Linked DNA regions of Yarrowia lipolytica. The protein of the gene in region 1 purifies or fractionates together with the protein of each later gene. This does not show direct contact. Links are inferred from orthologs where the notes say so. Each region holds a gene or a part of one and is shown in the gene's direction. Other genes may lie near its edges. The genes, in order: YALI1_B16194g, YALI1_D32424g, YALI1_D13126g and YALI1_E02317g.

Region 1 (4,140 bases):
CCATTGCATCCATCCAGGATTCGCGTGAGTACGGTTTCTATGACCATGGAATGATTTCCAACCTGTCGCATATTCCGTCCACGTGCTCCATTCGATCATCGACTTCTCAGTTTGACGCTGAAGACGAGTGGGACGAGCGAGATGAGGAGGATGGAGACTTTGACGACGATTCAGATGAGGACTCAGACGATGACTCAGACGCGCTCTTCATGTCTGTTAGAAAGCACGCCAAGGCCAAGTCTGTGGAATCTCCTCTCTCTGAGGAGGAAGAGCGACTTGTGCGACACATTGAGGCCGAAGACCAGGCTGTGGAGGCCCGTGTGGCTGCCGGAATCGTCAGTAGCAATGTACCCGACGTGGTGTCTTCCAATGACTCGGATCACGTGAGATCTGACACTTCCACTGAGAACAAGTCCTTTTCACGGTACTTTGACCGTACTCTCAGCATGGCATCTTGGGACGATGTTCTGGCTTACATTTACAGACCCAAGCGAGCTACTGTGCCCAACAAGCGGTCTTCTGGAGCTCCTCCTTCAGTCAGATCCACAAGATCGCCTCTTTCGGACCATCCCATCACGTCTTCGGGAGACGAGTCCGACCGAACCATTTCTGCACATGCCCCTTCCGGCGGTGCCGGTCGAGGCCGGTCTCATTCGTCCATCTCGCGAATGTGGCGATACCTGAAGAACTCGTCTGCCGATGAGGCCACCCGGTCTCGATCTCGAGATGCAAACGGAGCCGGTGCTCCCCCTGCCTACGAAGAAATCTTCCCTGGCCATGGGGTTGTCCACGACAAGAAGGTTGTGCAGATGGCCGCTGCTTCTGCTGCCGAGAACTCGTCTGGGCCTGTTGGAGCCTCATCTTCAGCAGTTGCGTCCACTTCTGCGGCTGCCGCTGTGGTGCCCTCCCCACTAGCCCCCATTGTGGAGGACGAGGAGCAGCTGGTAGAGGCCTGGAGACGACAGCGACGATCCATGGCTAACGATCGCATGTTATTTGCCTTCTGGCTGCCTGTGCTGCTCATGGCTATTGGTTATATGGTCATCAAGGCGTTTGGTCTGTTCCCCGACCAGGTCTCTGCCGTTGAGTCTGTGGCTGAGACTGTGGGTGTCCACTGCCGTGGAGCAGTTGCCAAGCTATGGTTCAAGCAGTACCCTGTTCACCGAGGCCAGCCACTCAAGGACACCTGTTCATTTGAGCCCAACAGTCTGGTAGAGTCAGCTCTTCGTCAGATGAATGGGTGGTCCGACCGGGAGGTTCCCATTCATCAAGCCCAGGCCCAGGCTGCATGAACACGAACAAGCGGAAGAAGTCTGTGCAAACGCGAACGCCTGTATAATTGTATCATCTAATTAATTTATTGTATTATGATCATTTAAATGAGAAACTACTGTTTTTTAAAGTCCATCTTTGTATCTCACTGTCAAGGTCTCAGTTACAGTAAGTTTAGTGTCCACAGTACAGTGTCCCAGGCATCGGTCTCGGGATGGACCCTGGAACTGTAAAAGTGTCAGATGGGTTTGGTAGAGTGACGCTGAAGCGACGTCGGGGATCATACTGGCAGGGCTAAGGGATGCGATGAACGAACAATTTAATAAGATCGACTGTCCAATTATTATGATTAGGGTGATTTATAAGCCCTTCCATATATCCCTTCTACTGTGCTACCTACACTCTATCAACGTCTGATCAGTAATTATCAAGACGCAACTCATCTCTGCTTCAAAGTTTGCTATCTACGAATGCTTGTACTGTATGGAGTGTGTACTGTGTAAAATATTGAGTAGTGATTAAGAGCTCCAAACAGGGGTTGAGGCACACAAAGGGTTGGGTAGCGTCGACTTTGCCCCTCACACTAAGAACACAACAGCAACTACAACATTACAACACTTCCCCTCTCTCCTCTCTGGATCCAACCTCAGACCCTCCCAGGCCCATGTCTCCTCCCAACCACGGCTACAAATTTAAACTCGGCATACAGGAAAAAAAATAATGCAGCTGGCAAAACAAATCACCATACCGTTATTATCACCACACACAACCCATCACACAACTTTACCGAGATGACCAACCAAGAATCGCAGTCGGTCAAGGTGGTCTTCGTGACCCGGGACGAGACCCTGCAGCCCGAGGCTCCCCTGCCTCCCGTCATGGTCCCTACTTCCCTCAAGCGTCTGGGTCTGTCTGAAATCGTCAACCAGCTGCTGGACACTGAGACTCCTGTTCCTCTTGATTTCCTCATTGTGAAGGCTACTGCCGGCGATGGAGGAGCTTCGATTCTCGACGAGGAGTCTGCCTCTTCTTCCTCGGTGCTTCTACGACCAGGAGCCTCCCTGGAGTCTTTCCTTGCTGACAACGGTTTGTCTTCCGAAGTCAGTCTGTCGATCGAGTACATTCGATCTGTGCTGCCTCCATCATTTCTGGCCTCTTTCTCCAACCCCGACTGGGTCGCTGCTGTCGATATCAACGCCCGGTGGACTGGCGATCTGAAACCCGTCATCGCCTCGGGATCTTACGACGGAGTCGTGCGTCTGTGGGACCACTCGGGTCATGTGACCGGCCAGCTTGTGGGCCACAACTCCGCCGCCAAGGCTGTGCGATGGATCTCTAATGACCAGCTCGTTTCTGGAGGTTCCGACCGACTTTTGTACCTATGGAACCCCGACGGAAAGAAGTACCGACGAAAGGAACCTGGACAGGTGGGCAAGAAGGAGCTCAACTACGACAGTGAGGAGGACAGTGATGAGGAGATGCTCGATGAGCTTCCAGCCGCCTCTACCGTGACCCCTATGGCAGCTCTACATGGACATACCGCACCCATCAACGATCTTGCTGTTCACGCCAAGACCGGAAAGATCATCTCCGCCTCCGCAGACGGATCCGTGGGTCTGTGGTCTACCGACTACAATGACATGCCGGCAATTGAGCCCCATACCGCTGCCGCTGGCGGTCTGACTTCCACTTCTGCACAGAAGCGACGAAAGCTCGCCAACTCCGGCTCTGGAGCCACCGGTCTGGGAGCTGCTCGTCAGCGAGGTCCTCTGGCAGTCATGGGCGGCCACTCCGCCGCCGTTTCGGCCGTCGCATTCCATCATTCCGACCCCACAGTCGCCTACTCTGTGTCTCTGGATCACACCATCAAAACCTGGGATCTCGCCACCGCCGAGGCTGTCCAGAGCAACGCCGGATCCCCCGATCCTTCGGTCGATACCCGATCCACCTCCTTTTCGCTTCTTTCCCTTTGCACCCTGCCCCAGGGTCTCATTGCCTGCGGCTCTTCAGCCCGTCACATTACCCTGCACGACCCCCGAGTAACTGCACAGGTGGCAACTCAGGCCAAGCTGGTGGGCCACACCAACTTCGTGTCGTCGCTGTCGCGAGGACCCGAATCCAACCCCTTCCTGCTGGCTTCAGGATCTCACGATGGAACTGTCCGAATATGGGATGTTCGAACCACCAAGTCTCTGCACGTGATCCACCGAGAGACTCTGACAGAGAACAATGCCGTGTTTGGCGTGGACTGGAAACAAAACCTGGGTATTGTCTCTGGTGGCCAGGACAACAAGATCCAGATTAATAACAACCCCCAGAGCGCCTAAGGCACCCCAGGGGTTTTTGCATCATGTACGTATAGGTAATTGTAGATATAGAGGAGAGGGTGTGTCAGTAGGCTACTTGTAATATTGTGATAGAGTGGAACAGGTTGACTTCGTAAATGAGTTATCCTATGTGCTCGATCTATACTGTAACTACTGTAGCTACAAGAGTGCACGTCGCGTGGTACAACTCAAGTACAAGTACAAACAACGCTAGGTTAATAGTTCATTACCGGAAGTGACAGGCACAAGTTCGGGGCAACTAAAACAGGCACTCGGGTACAAGTACAATTACATTATATTGCTGTTGTTGTTATTGCCTTTGTTTCCTGTCTTTTTTTTTTCTTCCTTTTTTTTTGTTTTTTTCTTATCACTGCTGAATTGGTCCTCCATGGTGTGATACAAATACACCTGTACGTACAGTACTCGTACTTGTACGGGCAAATTCACCAACACATATCGACAAGAATCATGAAGATTTTTCTTCGTCAAACAAACCAAATCAGACATTCTTTTATTGATGGACCTCCTGATGACACCTTCC
Region 2 (5,059 bases), on another chromosome or scaffold:
CCGTCCAGCGAAAAGGTATCTCTGTGTCGTTCTCCCTCGGTCGCAGCGGTCTCCAGAAACTCGTATTCGGGGACACTCACATACTTCAACTTGTCGGCCACTCCGGGAGCCAGATTGTAGTCTCTAGTGATGTCTGTTTCGCCAGCCTTTTGCGACTCGAGAATTCCGGAGATGGTGGCCGGGTTCAGGAGCGTTCGGGGCTTGCTAAAGTCCCCAGACTCGGCCTCAGCGGCCTCATCCAGGGCCTCGCGAGCCTTCAGAGCCTCCAAAACAGGATTGCTCTTGCTGTATTGGACCTCAGACTCGGTCAGTTTGACGGCCCCGAGATCCATGAGCTGCCGCGCGAAATCTCGGTCCCCGCCGTCCCTGACAATGTCCTCGTTCTTGGTCTGCGAAGCCATGGGCATGGGAGCCGGTTGCGACCGATTGGGGTCGGCCGTCTCTTGGCGAATGTGCTGATGTTTGGTTTTCACGGACAGATCGATGGCGCGCTTGCCGGCCTCGGCTGCGGGCTGGAAACGCTTCGCCTTACTTGCGGAAGAGCCCATGGTGGTTGTGGAGGTCGAGGAGGTTGTTGATCAGACTGTGATCTGGACAGTGGTGATCTGGAAATGATGGGAGTGAATGTGTTTGTGGGTTCGATTCGAGGTTGGGGGCATTTTGGAGAATAATGAATACTGTCTGGAATGAGCTGGGAGCAGGCTTAATTTGATCATACTGGTTTGAATAGAGAAACTGTTAATTTATCAGACAAATTTGACCACTATTAGACATTCTATAAGACACGTTTAAGACCGGTGGCGAATGAGAAATCATTGAATCTGCCCAAGCTATAGTAAAACAATATCAAATTGAGAAAATAATGATATGATTGGAATGGTGGCGTTTGTGGTTGACCATTGGTACTAGTTTTAGTCTTAGTTTTTATTGATTTAATCGGACTTTCAGACTAGTTCAAGCAACGATCACTTATTGTCTCCTATGCTCAGAGTCTCTATACAAGCACTTAGCTAGCCATGGGGAAGAGCTACAAGAAAATGGAGTTCACCATTGGATTTCTCTTGATCTAAGCTATCCACTGATTCTATTACTTTTTCTACATTTTCAAAATTACTCATTTTACGAACAGTATGAGGTCTGAATTGAGAATGGGTTTAATGAGCGTTCTAGTTGAGCTGAAACATACTAGAAGATACCAATGGACTCCTCTTCCTTCCAGAAATCCATTTCAACCACCCGTTTTTCCTCAATATCTCTTGCGATGTCCATTTTCGCCAACTAAGCAACTGTTCAGGTGGTTGCACGTCTATCTCGGGTTCTACCGGGTCAAAATTTGATTAAGAAAATACACTTAGACTGTTTCATGTTGTATCTATTCTTTCAAATGGTTCAATTTCTCGCTCTCTTCAAGTTCGCATGTTGCAAGTAATGTCGTGCTCAAACTCGAACTGACGAGGTTTCGATTTTTCTTGAAAATATATATATATATATATTTAAAGTTATCCTCTAATTTTTTTTCCAAACCTTATCTCAATAAATTCTACCTGGAATCTATCCCTATCTCACAGCCTACTACATACCACACTTCAGCACGAAAATGTCCGACAGTGAGGTTGAATACGACATTGCGGGGTCTTTGAATCCGGGGGTGGATTCGGAAGACGACTATTCGTCCGGATCAGAGTCCGACAGCGAGATTCCCGACATTATTGAGGACAGTGAAGATGAGACCGGGCCCCAGCAGGGCGAACCGGGCACCATGACTTTCCCCAATCTGGAACTGTCCGATGACGATGACGACGACGACGATGACGACGAGGGCAGAAAGAAGAAGAAGAAAAAGACGGACGACTCGGTGGAAAGCTACTTTGGAGCACCGCAAACGGGCAAAAAAAGCTCGGGCAGTTTTGCTGGTCTGGGTTTGTCGCAGTTGGTGCTTAAAAATATTGCACGAAAGGGGTTCAAGCAGCCGACGCCGATCCAGCGAAAGACGATTCCGCTGGTTCTGGAGGGCAAAGACGTGGTGGGAATGGCCCGAACCGGAAGTGGCAAGACAGCGGCGTTTGTGCTGCCCATGTTGGAGAAGCTCAAGGTCCACAGCGCCAAGGTGGGCGCGCGGGCGGTGATTCTGTCGCCGTCACGTGAGCTAGCGCTGCAGACGCTCAAGGTGGTCAAGGACTTTTCTGCCGGCACCGATCTGCGTCTGGCCATGTTGGTTGGAGGCGATTCGCTGGAGGAGCAGTTCAAAATGATGATGTCCAATCCAGACATTATTATCGCCACCCCAGGCCGGTTTCTGCATCTCAAGGTGGAGATGGAGCTGTCGTTGGCGTCGGTGGAGTACATTTGTTTCGACGAGGCCGACCGGCTGTTCGAGCTGGGTTTTGGTGAGCAGATGAACGAGCTGTTAGCGTCGTTGCCCAGCAACAGACAGACTCTGCTGTTTTCCGCCACGCTTCCCAAGACGCTGGTGGAGTTTGCCAAGGCTGGTCTTCACGACCCGATTCTGGTTCGTCTGGATGCCGAGACCAAGTTGCCAGAGCATTTGGAAATGACGTTTTTTGCCGTCAAGGAGAACCAGCGAGACGCCTGCTTGGCCTTCATTCTCAAGGAGGTGATCCAGATGCCGTTTGCAACGCCGGAGCAGCTCAAAGAGCTCGAGCGACTGGATGAACGGGCCATTGACGACGGAGAACGGGATGAGGACCGGAAACAAAAACGGCCCAAGTTCAAGAAAGAACGGCTGCCCCCTGCGCACCAATTGCCCTCGGAAAAGTCGACCATCGTCTTCTGTCCCACCAAGCATCATGTGGAGTATGTCATTGTCTTGCTTCAAACTCTGGGGTACGCGGTTTCGTACATTTACGGCACGTTGGACCAGCATGCTCGTAAGAACCAGCTGTATCGGTTCCGCACGGGCAAAACGTCTATCTTGGTGGTCACTGATGTGGCTGCGCGAGGTATTGATGTGCCTGTTCTGGCCAATGTTATCAATTATTCGCTTCCTCCGTCCCCCAAGGTGTTTATCCATCGTGTGGGTCGAACAGCTCGAGCCGGCAACCGCGGATGGGCTTATTCCATCATCAAGGACAACGACATTCCGTATCTGTTGGATCTGGAGGTGTTTTTGGGCCGCAAGCTACTGACTCCTCGGTTGTTCAAGCAACAGAATCCCGACCCTTCGGCCGAGCCCGATTACGTCAACACTCTGACAATTGGAGCTCCTCCGCGCCAGGCGCTCGAAATCCACGGCGAGGAGCTCGCCCAGATGGTCAAGGACTCGTACGAGCTGCAGCAGCTGTCGGAGGTTGCGGTCAAGGGCGAGCGAATGTACAACAAGACCAAGGGAAGTGCTTCTCAGGAGTCGGCCAAGCGGTCAAAGCAGATTATGGCACTGGGATGGGACGACCATCATCTCATGTTTGGCGAGGATGGCGAGTCTGCCAAGGACGCGTTGTTGGCACGATTGGGCCAGAAGCGCATTCGAGAAACGGTGTTTGAGTTCCGCAAGAGCAAAACCACCTCTGGCGCCGAGATGATGGCCACTCGTCGGGCCCAGCTGGCTCCGATCCAGCGCCGGGCCGCGGAAAAGCGTGCCATTCAGGAAAAGGAGCGGCTGGCGGGTCTGGTTCATTCGCAGGATGCGGAGATTGCCCGGTCTACCGAGGAAGATATGGCTACCGAGGCGGATCTCACCGGGTTCACTACGGAGGAGGATCTTCGGGCGGCCAAGAAGGCGCAAAAGTCCAAGAAGCGCTCCTTCAGAGACTCGGAGAACTTCATGTCCCACTACGCACCCACCAACGACGATAAGGGCTATGCTGTGGGCAACTTTGCCGGGGCTGCGTCCAATGCCACGTTTGATCTCATCAACGACGGCTCGGAAATGCAGCAGAAACAGGGCATGAAGTGGGACAAGAAGAAGGGTAAGTTCATCAACGCGGGCTCGGAGGGTGGCAAGAAGTTCATTCGAGGTGAGGGAGGCCAGCGAATCGCCGCGTCGTTCCGGTCGGGCCGATTCGATAAGTGGAAGGCCGCCCACAAGGTCGGCAATCTCAAGGTTGGCGCTCTGGAGGAGTCTGGGCCTGCCACTAAGCGGGTTTTGTCTGCGCGAGAGTTCAAACACAACAAAAACGAAGCCCCCAAACGAGCCGACAAGTACCGAGACGATTTCCACAAGCAAAAGACCAAGGTCGCCGCTGCCAAGGAAGACGGACGAATCCAGAAACCCCAGCCCAAGAGCGAGCTCAAGTCCACCGCCGATGTTCGAAAGAGCCGAATCCTGGCCGAGAAGCGCAAGCAGAAGAATGCCCGGCCGAGTCGGGGTGGCAGGGGTGGAGGTCGTGGAGGTCGTGGAGGAGGTCGTGGAGGGCGTTAAGAGGAGTCTTCGGAGGATTGGGGTTGATCGAGGAGGTCGCTGGTTAGGTGGTTTTTTGTTTGGTCACGTGAAAAGTCACGTGGGTCTTCTGGAGGGCGTCGTTTAGTGACTCTTTTGGGGACTTCTATGATGAGTGTTTGACCTCACATGTCCTCATGCTCGCAGTTGATCTCACATGTACATCTGACACCACCACCACCACCAACCACCAATCTCGACTCGCCGAAGTTTCTACACACTCTTGAAGAACAAACCCACCCATCTACTACCATGTCACGAGAACATTTTGTTTCGTCTCCGTTCCATCTCCTCATCACGAGACTGGAATATTTCCGAGCCACGGCCCATTGCACTATAGAAAATAAAACTAGAATATCACGTTTATAAAAAAAACCCAGAATTGTTCTCAAGTAATTCCCAACAAATGACCAAGTAACGTTGACTTCGATAGGATAAGAAATGCTCCACAACTCGAGATTTTGTATGATAAAAATTACCAGAAATATCATTTTTGTCATCAAATCCTTCATTATCTATCGTCTGGTATCCTTTTTGTGGCTTCAGCATCTCTGGAACACCAAATTACATACATACCCCCAGTGCACTTCAACTATTTCTCAACTATTTCCCAACTATTCCAAACCTGATTCCATACTGACTTGAACTCCTGCGTGTCCAAAT
Region 3 (4,728 bases), on another chromosome or scaffold:
CGTGACTATAGATTGCAAAGAATGTTTGGGGAGCCGATTTGTGCGCAAGGAGACGGTAAATGGCACTTTACTGATAGTTTTTGTAATGAAGAGAACGTCAACTCTCTAATACCCGTAAAATCTCATTCCATCAGCAACCGTTACCTGTAGATATGAGTCCTGATGACGATGCCATTTTCCAGTCGCAAAAATAAGGTTCATCACTCCGTCTTAATTACACCCTCGAATTTCATCTCGGCCATGCATCCCATAGTGCCTCAACCTGGCTCTGTGGCGGACAGTCAACGCAACACAAATATGGTGAAGCCGCGCTCCAAGGTGGAAAAGCCCTCCAGCAAGAAAAAAACGTCCGGCAAGGATAAATCCAAATCCGAGGAGGTGATGAAGGTGGAGCAACATGAGGGAGATGAGACGGAAGAACAGGTTGAAGAGAAGGAGAAATCCGAGGAGGTGGAGAAGTCTCCACAAGTGAACGTCAAAGAAGAAGACACTCCACAGGAAGCTCTCAACTCACCCGAGGTGTCTCAATCTTCGGAACTGGCCGAAAACACAGACTACATTGCTCTGACTTCTGCGCTGTCCATGCTTACGAGACAGCAAGAGACGAGCAAAAGAGACTTGGTCAAACTGTCGCAAATGAGACAGCAGGCGGTGGAGCAACCCGAGCAGTTTTTGGAAAAGGTCAAGAGCGGACAAGTGTCTTTCCCCAAGGCTCTCTATGTCACCATGGTTCCTTCAATCGACTGGAACCAGTACGACTTTGATAACCGAGAGTTGGACGCTGTTATCGGGCGTCAGAGAAAGGAGTCAGAAAAGGGTGTTGTTGAAGAGGTTCCGTTGTTTAACCAGTAGTGGACTGTACACCAAGAGGCTACAGTACTCATCAAACAACAATTTATGACACAGTACCTCCAGTGTCTTGGTATTTATAGGTAAAATGTATTATTATTGTATTATTATTGTAGCACTACTACCGTACAAGAATTACATTCCGTATTGTATGCAATCTATTATCTAGTTAGGTCACTCCACAGTGGCGTTGGAAAAGTCCACGTTATAGGTGGGATCATCCTTTCGAGAAATCTTTCGGTACTCGTCAATAACCTTTTGTCGCTCGGCCTCGAGAATGAGACGCCGGGCGTTGTCTCCGGAAGCCTTGGGGACGTTAGGAAGCAGCTTTCGAGGCAGATTCAGCACAGGGGGAGCGTCAGCCACCTCTCCAAACTTGGCCTTCTTGTTCTTCTTTTCTAGCACGGCCCAAGGATCGGGCGACTTATCTCTCTGCTTCTTGGGGAAGAACAGGTCGTTCTTGAGCCGTTTCTCATCCATCCCGTCTCCCTCCTCTGCAGCCTCATCGGCCTTCTTGTAGTCCATCTCGTTCTGCAGAACCCGGTTCTTCTGCTTCTGAATGTTCTTCTTGTCAAGCCGTGTGAGCTCCTTGGCGTTTTCCGACTTGCGGGGCTTCGCATTGGGCAGCGCTTCGTCAACTCTTCGAGAGAAGTCCGCCCACGACTCACCGGGTTTCATTTGCAGCTCGGAGTTCTCATGCGAAATGTGTTTGTTGGTAGGGTACAGTTCCTTCTTTTGCTTCTTTCGGCCCCTCTCCTCCTCCTGGCTCTGGGCAGTTCGCTCCTGGCGGGCCATCATTCGCTTGAAGCTCTTGGGGGTATCGTCATCGTGACTGTCGTTGTAGTTGTCCTTGGCGAACTTCCCCTTCTTCTTGGTGAACTTGCTCTTCTTTCGGTTAGAGAAGTCCTCGGGGTCCTGGTCCAGCGGTACCACCTCTCGTTTGAGCACGTTTCTCGGTCGTTTTCGGGGCATTTGTGTATGGTGATGAGTATATCTGAAGTATCTTGGAACTACAGTGATGCTGGAATAAACTTGCACTGCATGAAATTATTTTTCTGACGACAAACCTTATTCAAGAAATTTACAGACATGCTGCTACGAGGATATTGGTGATATAACAACGCCATACACAGACACACAAACACACAATGGTGAAACGATCGCGAGACGTGGCCAAGTTTGAAAAGCGGGCCAAGGCTCGGCAGGAGCAGGACAGCAAGCTTGCGCAATCATGGCAGTACATCAAAGACTCTGACAACGAGGAGGATGAGGACTATGGACCTCGATCTTTCAAGGAGGAAGAATCTCTCGGTGAAATGCTGCCTGTGCGAGGCGAAGACGGCCAGATCAAGCGGGTGATGCGCAAGAAGGGCGACAAAATCAGCAAGCGAAAGCTGGAGGAGCAAGCTGAGAGACAGCGACAGGAGGAAGAGGAGGAGGCAGCTCGAGAGGCAGCAGAGGCAGCAGCAGCAGAACAGGCAGCCAAGGAGGCCGCCGAGAAGGAAGAGGAGGACGACATTGGCGATTCTGATTTCGAGGAGGAAGACGAGGTCACTGGAGAGGCCCGATTTCGAAAGGCCCAGGCCGAGATTGCAGAACTGGCCGACCAGCTCAACGAGGACGCCGAGGAGAACATTCACTGTCTGCGCAAGATTCGGGAGCTCATGGGTCGAAAGCAGTCATTCCGGGTGGTACAACTGACGATTCTGTCGCTGGTTCCTATTTTCCAGTCGATCATTCCTGGTTACAAAATCAGACCCTTAACCGAGGCCGAAAAGCGAGAAAAGGTGTCTAAGGAGGTCAAGAGACTACGAAACTTCGAGACGTCGCTGCTGCAGAACTACAAGGCGTATCTAGACTACATTAGCAAGTTTTCCAAGAAGGCCCGAGGCTCCACTGAAGGCACCATGAAACGAATTTTGGGAGACTCGTGCGTGGTGGCAGCCTGCGAACTTCTCAAGACGTCTGCGTACTTCAACTTCAGATCTGACCTCGTGGCGATTGTGGTGAACCGTGTGGGACAGAAGCCCTACGACGCCAACTACTTCAAGGCGTTGTCCACCATCGAGTCTCTGTTTGAGGACGACTTCGAGGGTTCTGCTGTGAAGGAGATTGTCATGTCCTTGTCCAAGATGATCCGTGCAAAGAAGTATAGAATTGACGAGTCGTTGCTCAACTCACTGCTTAAACTGCGGTTGCTGACAGAGCTCGACGCCAGAGCTTCCCAGAGACACGTGGAGTCTCAACAAGCACCGACAGCCAAGGTGCGAAAGAAGGACCGAGTGCACCTGACCAAGAAGCAGCGAAAAACGCTCAAGGAGAAGAAGGAGATCGACGAGGAGATGCTAAAGGCAGAGATGGCGGTATCGACCGAGGAGCGAGAGAAGATCCAGGGAGAGACGCTCAAAATCGTCTTTGTTCTGTACTTTAACATTCTCAAGGAACGACCACAGCATCTCATGGCAGCCACTCTGGAGGGTCTGGCCAAATTTTCGCATCTCATCAACGCCGACTTCTTTGGCGATCTGCTGGAGGTGCTACGGGAGCTCATCACCGAGCGTCAAATCCGATACACCGACGACGGAAAGCAAGAGTTCTTGGAAACCTCTACCCGAGAGGCTCTTCTGTGTATTGTCACTGCATTCGTGCTGCTTGGAGGCCAGGTGGGCGAGTCCATGAACCTCGATCTGACCTTCTTCATCAACCACTTCTACTCGTCACTCTACGCTCTGGGTCTCAACCCCGACATTGAGCTGTCACACAAGTCTCTTCGTCTTGATGATCCCAACACCAACGAGTCCGCCAGCAATAAGCGGTCCAAAATCAACGTGGCCACAGAGATGGAGATGGTGGTGAGGTCGTTCGAGGGTATTTTCTTGCAGCAGAAGCACGTGTCTCGGCTGCGAGTCCAGGCTTTTGCGAAGAGACTGGCTACCATCTGTCTCCAGCTACCCGAAAAGTCGTGCATGGCCGGTCTCAAGATTCTCGACCGGCTCAATAAGAAGTTCACCGTTATGACCGCTCTGTACTCGTCCGACGACCGAATCACCAACGGAGTGTACCGAATGGACGTGGACCAACCCGACCATGCCAACCCCGAAGCATCTACCATCTGGGAGACAGTGTTGCTGGAGAAACACTTCTCGCCAGACATTGCCAAGGCCGCCAAACTGGTGCCCCGAAACGTCAAGAAGAACAAGCATTAGAGAGGATTATAGAAATGTATATTTGGACAACAGGAATAGCTAGTGAGTGACTGAGTGTAAACAGTGTGTTATAGATGAGTAAATCTACCATACGATTCATCTGAATGTATAGGCAAAGCTCTATAGGAGCTACAGTTACTCAGCAACTGCACCTGCGTTTGATTATGCCGTATCTGACAATGACGCAATCAATAGTATCCATTATGGAAAATGAGGATCCAGTAACTATGTATTCATTCAGACATAACACAACATACGATAAGACGTGGAAAGGGGTCATAGAGAGAGACCCCCACCTTTCCGATGGACATAGTCTATGGGAAATGCAGGTCAGGATGCTTTCAGATGTTTTGAGAACTCTCAAACAACTGTAGTGAGTACACAGGAATGAAAGTAGTTGTAATATCTTCTGTACTGTGGTAGCTGAGTTCAGAGCTCTCTCTTGACATTAGTAGGTTCGTATAACAAACGTCGGTCGATCTGCGTCAGTACCTCGATTATGCTATTCAAATGCAGAACACCTCCGTTGATATCACCACGACCCATGCTCTACATTGTCTTGTATCAGATACGTTTTATACTTCTGCTGTTCCCTATCTTCAAGGTCAAGATTATCAGCCATATCTGACAGCATCAATTTTCTCGATATGACAACTTGCAAACCTGGACTTGG
Region 4 (4,371 bases), on another chromosome or scaffold:
AGAGTCTTGTTGATCCTATCGTTCAGGCTGACTACCTCTTGTACGCACTCAACAGAGATGATCCCAAGAGTTACCGTGATCTGTGTCCTCCCACCAACGATATCAACGATATTCTTGTTGCACTGCGGCGCAAGTGGCGGTCAACTCCTAACCAGGACGCTGGAACTGCTCTGCGGTGGATCAACGAGTGGGTCAGCGGAAAAAAAGGTAAGGTCATGCTCGACGCAGCTACTCCTGAGGCGTTTGACACGTACAATCAGAAGGAAAGTGAACGAATGCGAGCGTGGATGGTCAAGTTCCAACAACGAGGCAAGGAGAAGGGTGGAAACCGAGCCAGTAAAATCTTCCGCGCATAAAGGTCCTACAGACTACTTAAAACCAAAGTGTATATAGTACCATAAGTAATTATTATTTGTATATATATTAACATGGATGCTTGGGTGTGCTTTTCCGACACTGTATAAATATGGGGTGGGTTGACTGTGTTGAGACGCGTAATAGCTTTAGTTACTCCTCATACTCAGACTCCATCATCTTTTCCTCTGCCTGGCCAGCCTGAAACGTCTCATTTTCGAAAGCGGCATGTGCTGACATGAATCTCGTGGTTAGCATTGGCTTGTGGGCTCCTTCATATGTCTCAAATACTCACATTGACGCGTGAAGAATGCCGAGTTCTCTGATGTGCAATGCTTGTTCTGTGGTCCGTTCCATGAGGTTGCTCATGTCAACCAGATTAGCCTCAAGCTGCGCGAGCTGCGACTTGAGCTGGGTCATTTGACGGTCTCTTGTTGTCATGGCTGAAGTTGTGTGCGAGGCGTGTTTGAAGGCGAGTCTCAGAATGTTTAAAACGGTGTTTAGATGAACGTTCATGCATGAATGCTGCATAGTGGAGGCCATACGAACAGAGAGAGTAGTTGAGGTGATCTGTCACCAAATCCTGTCAAATGGTAATCACGGGCCGAAAATTATAAAGTGTACCGGACTAGAAACTCCCTCAACCACTCCCGTGACCTCAACCATACCAATAGATCCTCGTTCAACGTACCTTATCGAACTGTAATCAAGGGTAAGGGTAACATAACTACAGCAACAATGCGTGGCAAATGTGTGGGGATCCTTGTCAACCGTCTAAACCGTCTTCGACATTTCACAATCATCTCTAGCAGCTCTTGTCACACTCTTCGAAAGACAAAGCTGATCTAGGGACATTCAAACATAAAGTGCTTTCCAACTTCCATCCCAAAATGAGCCTCCAGCAGTTGGGCTATACTCCTCGAGGCAACAAGACGTTCCAGACCCAGGCAGAGGTCAATGAATACCTTGACAACCACGCCGCTTCTTCTCTGGTAAAGATTGAGGGTCTCGACGGTCTGTACATTGTCGATGACAACAATACTGTCCATGGCTCTCTTGGACTCAACCTGGCCAAAGAGTATGCTGGAGCCAAGTTTGAGCTCAAGTCCAGTCCTATCATTGAGAAGTCTTCCGATCTCGGGCTTGATACTCCTCTTGATTAGGGGATTGTGTGGTGCCACAGCTAACTATATGACGACTAGCGAAGCATACTACAGTATGTACACCTACGATCAATGGTGATTTGAGTCCTACACAACTGAGTAGGACACTTGTACGTTTTATATAGATTCGAATCTCAATATTTTGAATTGGACTGTTATTCACTAATAGGCGAGTTTTGTTCGTAATGCTATGAGTACTGTAGTGCTGCATGTACATTGCCACCATACAACACATGTTATGAGCAGATAAGGTTACAGTTTTACAGTTCGAAATTTTTCTCGATATTGCATGAAAGGCGTAAAAAATTGGAACACACTCCTAATTGCACAATCATGGGTCTGACCAAGAAGGAAAAAGTCGAAAAGAAAGCCCGAAGCGTGGTGAAGGGCAAGGCCGATAAGAAGGCCAAGGTCGAGAAGCCCTCGTCCAAGCCCGCCAAGTCCGCCAAGCCCTCCAAGTCCAAGGACGAGGTTGATGAGCTCGATGATGAGTTCGATGAGGTTGAGGGTCTCCTTGAGAAGGGAGACGTTGAGGAGGAAGACGAGGAGGAGACCAACGGAAATGAGGACTCCGAGATGAGCGATGACGATGAAAAGGACGTCGAAATCGAGGAGGAAGATGACGGAGAGGGCTCTGATCTCGAGGAAGAGGAGTCCACTGCCGTTGTCACTACTGCGCCCGCTGACGCTGAGGTTGTCCACATTGCCTCAGACGCCGAGCGAAAGCCATTCAGCACAATTCCTCTGTCTGAGAACACCATGCAGAGTCTGAAGGACATGGGATTTGAGACCATGACTCCAGTCCAGGAGAAGACCATCCCTCCTCTGCTTGCTGGCCGAGATGTTTTGGGAGCTGCCAAGACCGGATCCGGTAAGACTCTGGCATTCCTGATTCCCGCCATCGAGATGCTGCGGAAACTCAAGTTCAAGCCTCGAAACGGTACTGGTGTGATTGTGGTGTCTCCCACCCGAGAGCTGGCCCTCCAGATCTACGGAGTGGCTCGAGATCTCATGGCTAACCACTCCCAGACCCTTGGCATTGTGATTGGTGGAAATAACCGACGACAGGAGGAAGAGAAGCTCAACAAGGGAGTCAACCTGCTGGTGTGTACCCCCGGTCGACTTCTCGATCATCTGCAGAACTCCCAGGGCTTTGTCTTCAAGAACCTCAAGGCTCTTATTATCGATGAGGCCGACCGAATTCTCGAGATCGGTTTCGAGCAAGAAATGAAGGAGATTATCAAGATTCTCCCCAAGGAGCGACAGTCCATGCTCTTCTCAGCCACACAGACCACCAAGGTCGAGGATCTGGCCCGAATTTCGCTCAAGAAGGGTCCCCTCTACCTTAACGTCGACGAACACAACGTCAGCTCCACCGCCGAGGGTCTCGAGCAGGGCTACGTTGTGTGCGATTCTGACAAGCGGTTCCTGCTGCTGTTCTCCTTCCTGAAGCGAAACGCAGGCAAGAAGATCATTGTCTTCCTTTCGTCTTGTAACTCGGTCAAGTTCTACGGAGAGCTGCTCAACTACATCGATCTGCCCGTTCTCGATCTGCACGGCAAGCAGAAGCAGCAGAAACGAACCAACACTTTCTTCGAGTTCATTAACGCCAAGCAGGGAGTTCTAATCTGCACTGATGTGGCTGCACGAGGTCTGGATATTCCCAAGGTTGACTGGATTATCCAGTTCGATCCTCCGGATGATCCCCGAGACTACATTCACCGAGTCGGACGAACTGCCCGAGGTTCTGCCTCCGGAAAGTCCATCATGTTCCTGACCCCCTCCGAGCTTGGCTTCCTGCGATACCTCAAGGCTGCCAAGGTGCCTCTCAACGAGTACGAGTTCCCCAACAAGAAGATTGCCAACGTGCAGAGCCAGCTGGAGAAGCTCATCTCGTCCAACTACTGGCTCAACACCTCTGCCAAGGACGGATATCGAGCCTATCTGCAAGCATACGCCTCGCACCACCTCAAGACCGTCTACCAGATCGACAAGCTCGATCTGGTCAAGGTGGCCAAGTCCTTCGGTTTCAATGTGCCTCCCAAGGTGAACATTTCCATTGGAGCTTCCGGTAAGGGCGCCAAGAGCATCAAGGGTAAGGACAACCACAAGAAGAGAGGTGGACCCGGCGGAAAGAAGTTCACACGGTAGATTGCATAATAGATAGTGGATAAGGAAAGTAATAAAACGACATTAGAACGAATTATGAGTGGTGCATGGCAATAGAAGTATATCTGTACAATTCAAATACGCTTAGCTGAGAATTACTTGTCAGTACTGGTTCCAGTATTTGTAAGGAGTACCTGTACATTAGTATGTATACATACTTAGATATACCAATGCATTGATGTTAGTGTTTAATATGAGATCTCAAATGTTCGGTTGGCCAGCCCGATGATGCGTGTAGCCGTATTATGCGATTATAATTGTCCTTCAAGGTCCTAAACCGCTGCCATTTCCCGTCCGTCACCCTCCAGCCACCTGGCTGGAATGCGCTCAAGGAACTTCTGTCCGTAAGCATTGGAAAAGTAGTCTTCTGCAGCAGGTACGACTGGAAAGGGAAGGAACCAAATGAGTGGGTTGGTTCCAAAAACCTGTCTCCAGTTCTTTGCAAAGCCTTGGTCGAACGGCAGCGGGTCCTCTTCTCGCAGAGGTTGGATGATTCTCTTGCCTTCATATCTGAAGTTGACTAGAACCATGTCTCCCTGTTTTCTTCCGAGACCCTCCATGGCGGTAAGGTTCCGACACACTCCCCAGAAGCTCTGGAGACACACAGAGGTGCAGAATGCGGCCCAGGCACCTGTGAGAATCAGAAGAGCTATGATGTTTCCGTTAGGAATAGAGTCAGGCGCGC

The links.
Region 2: the proteins of YALI1_B16194g (region 1) and YALI1_D32424g purify together in Saccharomyces cerevisiae (affinity purification with mass spectrometry; 6 studies listed by BioGRID). This does not show direct contact. The link is inferred for Yarrowia lipolytica from reciprocal best matches to the Saccharomyces cerevisiae genes YTM1 and DBP10.
Region 3: the proteins of YALI1_B16194g (region 1) and YALI1_D13126g purify together in Saccharomyces cerevisiae (affinity purification with mass spectrometry; 5 studies listed by BioGRID). This does not show direct contact. The link is inferred for Yarrowia lipolytica from reciprocal best matches to the Saccharomyces cerevisiae genes YTM1 and NOC3.
Region 4: the proteins of YALI1_B16194g (region 1) and YALI1_E02317g purify together in Saccharomyces cerevisiae (affinity purification with mass spectrometry; 6 studies listed by BioGRID). This does not show direct contact. The link is inferred for Yarrowia lipolytica from reciprocal best matches to the Saccharomyces cerevisiae genes YTM1 and HAS1.

What each region holds. Positions count from the first base shown.
Region 1 is NC_090771.1:1,617,324-1,621,463, reverse strand, and holds YALI1_B16194g (uncharacterized protein), read left to right. Parts: upstream 1-2,063; coding exon 2,064-3,599; downstream 3,600-4,140. Other genes in the region: YALI1_B16239g (uncharacterized protein), read left to right, coding at 1-1,292. UniProt on the Saccharomyces cerevisiae protein: Component of the NOP7 complex, which is required for maturation of the 25S and 5.8S ribosomal RNAs and formation of the 60S ribosome.
Region 2 is NC_090773.1:3,238,911-3,243,969, reverse strand, and holds YALI1_D32424g (uncharacterized protein), read left to right. Parts: upstream 1-1,597; coding exon 1,598-4,378; downstream 4,379-5,059. Other genes in the region: YALI1_D32435g (uncharacterized protein), read right to left, coding at 1-548. UniProt on the Saccharomyces cerevisiae protein: ATP-binding RNA helicase involved in the biogenesis of 60S ribosomal subunits and is required for the normal formation of 25S and 5.8S rRNAs.
Region 3 is NC_090773.1:1,310,647-1,315,374, forward strand, and holds YALI1_D13126g (uncharacterized protein), read left to right. Parts: upstream 1-1,997; coding exon 1,998-4,055; downstream 4,056-4,728. Other genes in the region: YALI1_D13108g (uncharacterized protein), read left to right, coding at 163-852; YALI1_D13124g (uncharacterized protein), read right to left, coding at 1,024-1,821. UniProt on the Saccharomyces cerevisiae protein: Required for synthesis of 60S ribosomal subunits and the transport of pre-ribosomes from the nucleoplasm to the cytoplasm. Also required for initiation of DNA replication.
Region 4 is NC_090774.1:229,909-234,279, forward strand, and holds YALI1_E02317g (uncharacterized protein), read left to right. Parts: upstream 1-1,850; coding exon 1,851-3,668; downstream 3,669-4,371. Other genes in the region: YALI1_E02290g (uncharacterized protein), read left to right, coding at 1-356; YALI1_E02305g (uncharacterized protein), read right to left, coding at 508-598, 650-795; YALI1_E02348g (uncharacterized protein), read right to left, coding at 3,959-4,371. UniProt on the Saccharomyces cerevisiae protein: ATP-dependent RNA helicase involved in 40S ribosomal subunit biogenesis. Required for the processing and cleavage of 35S pre-rRNA at sites A0, A1, and A2, leading to mature 18S rRNA.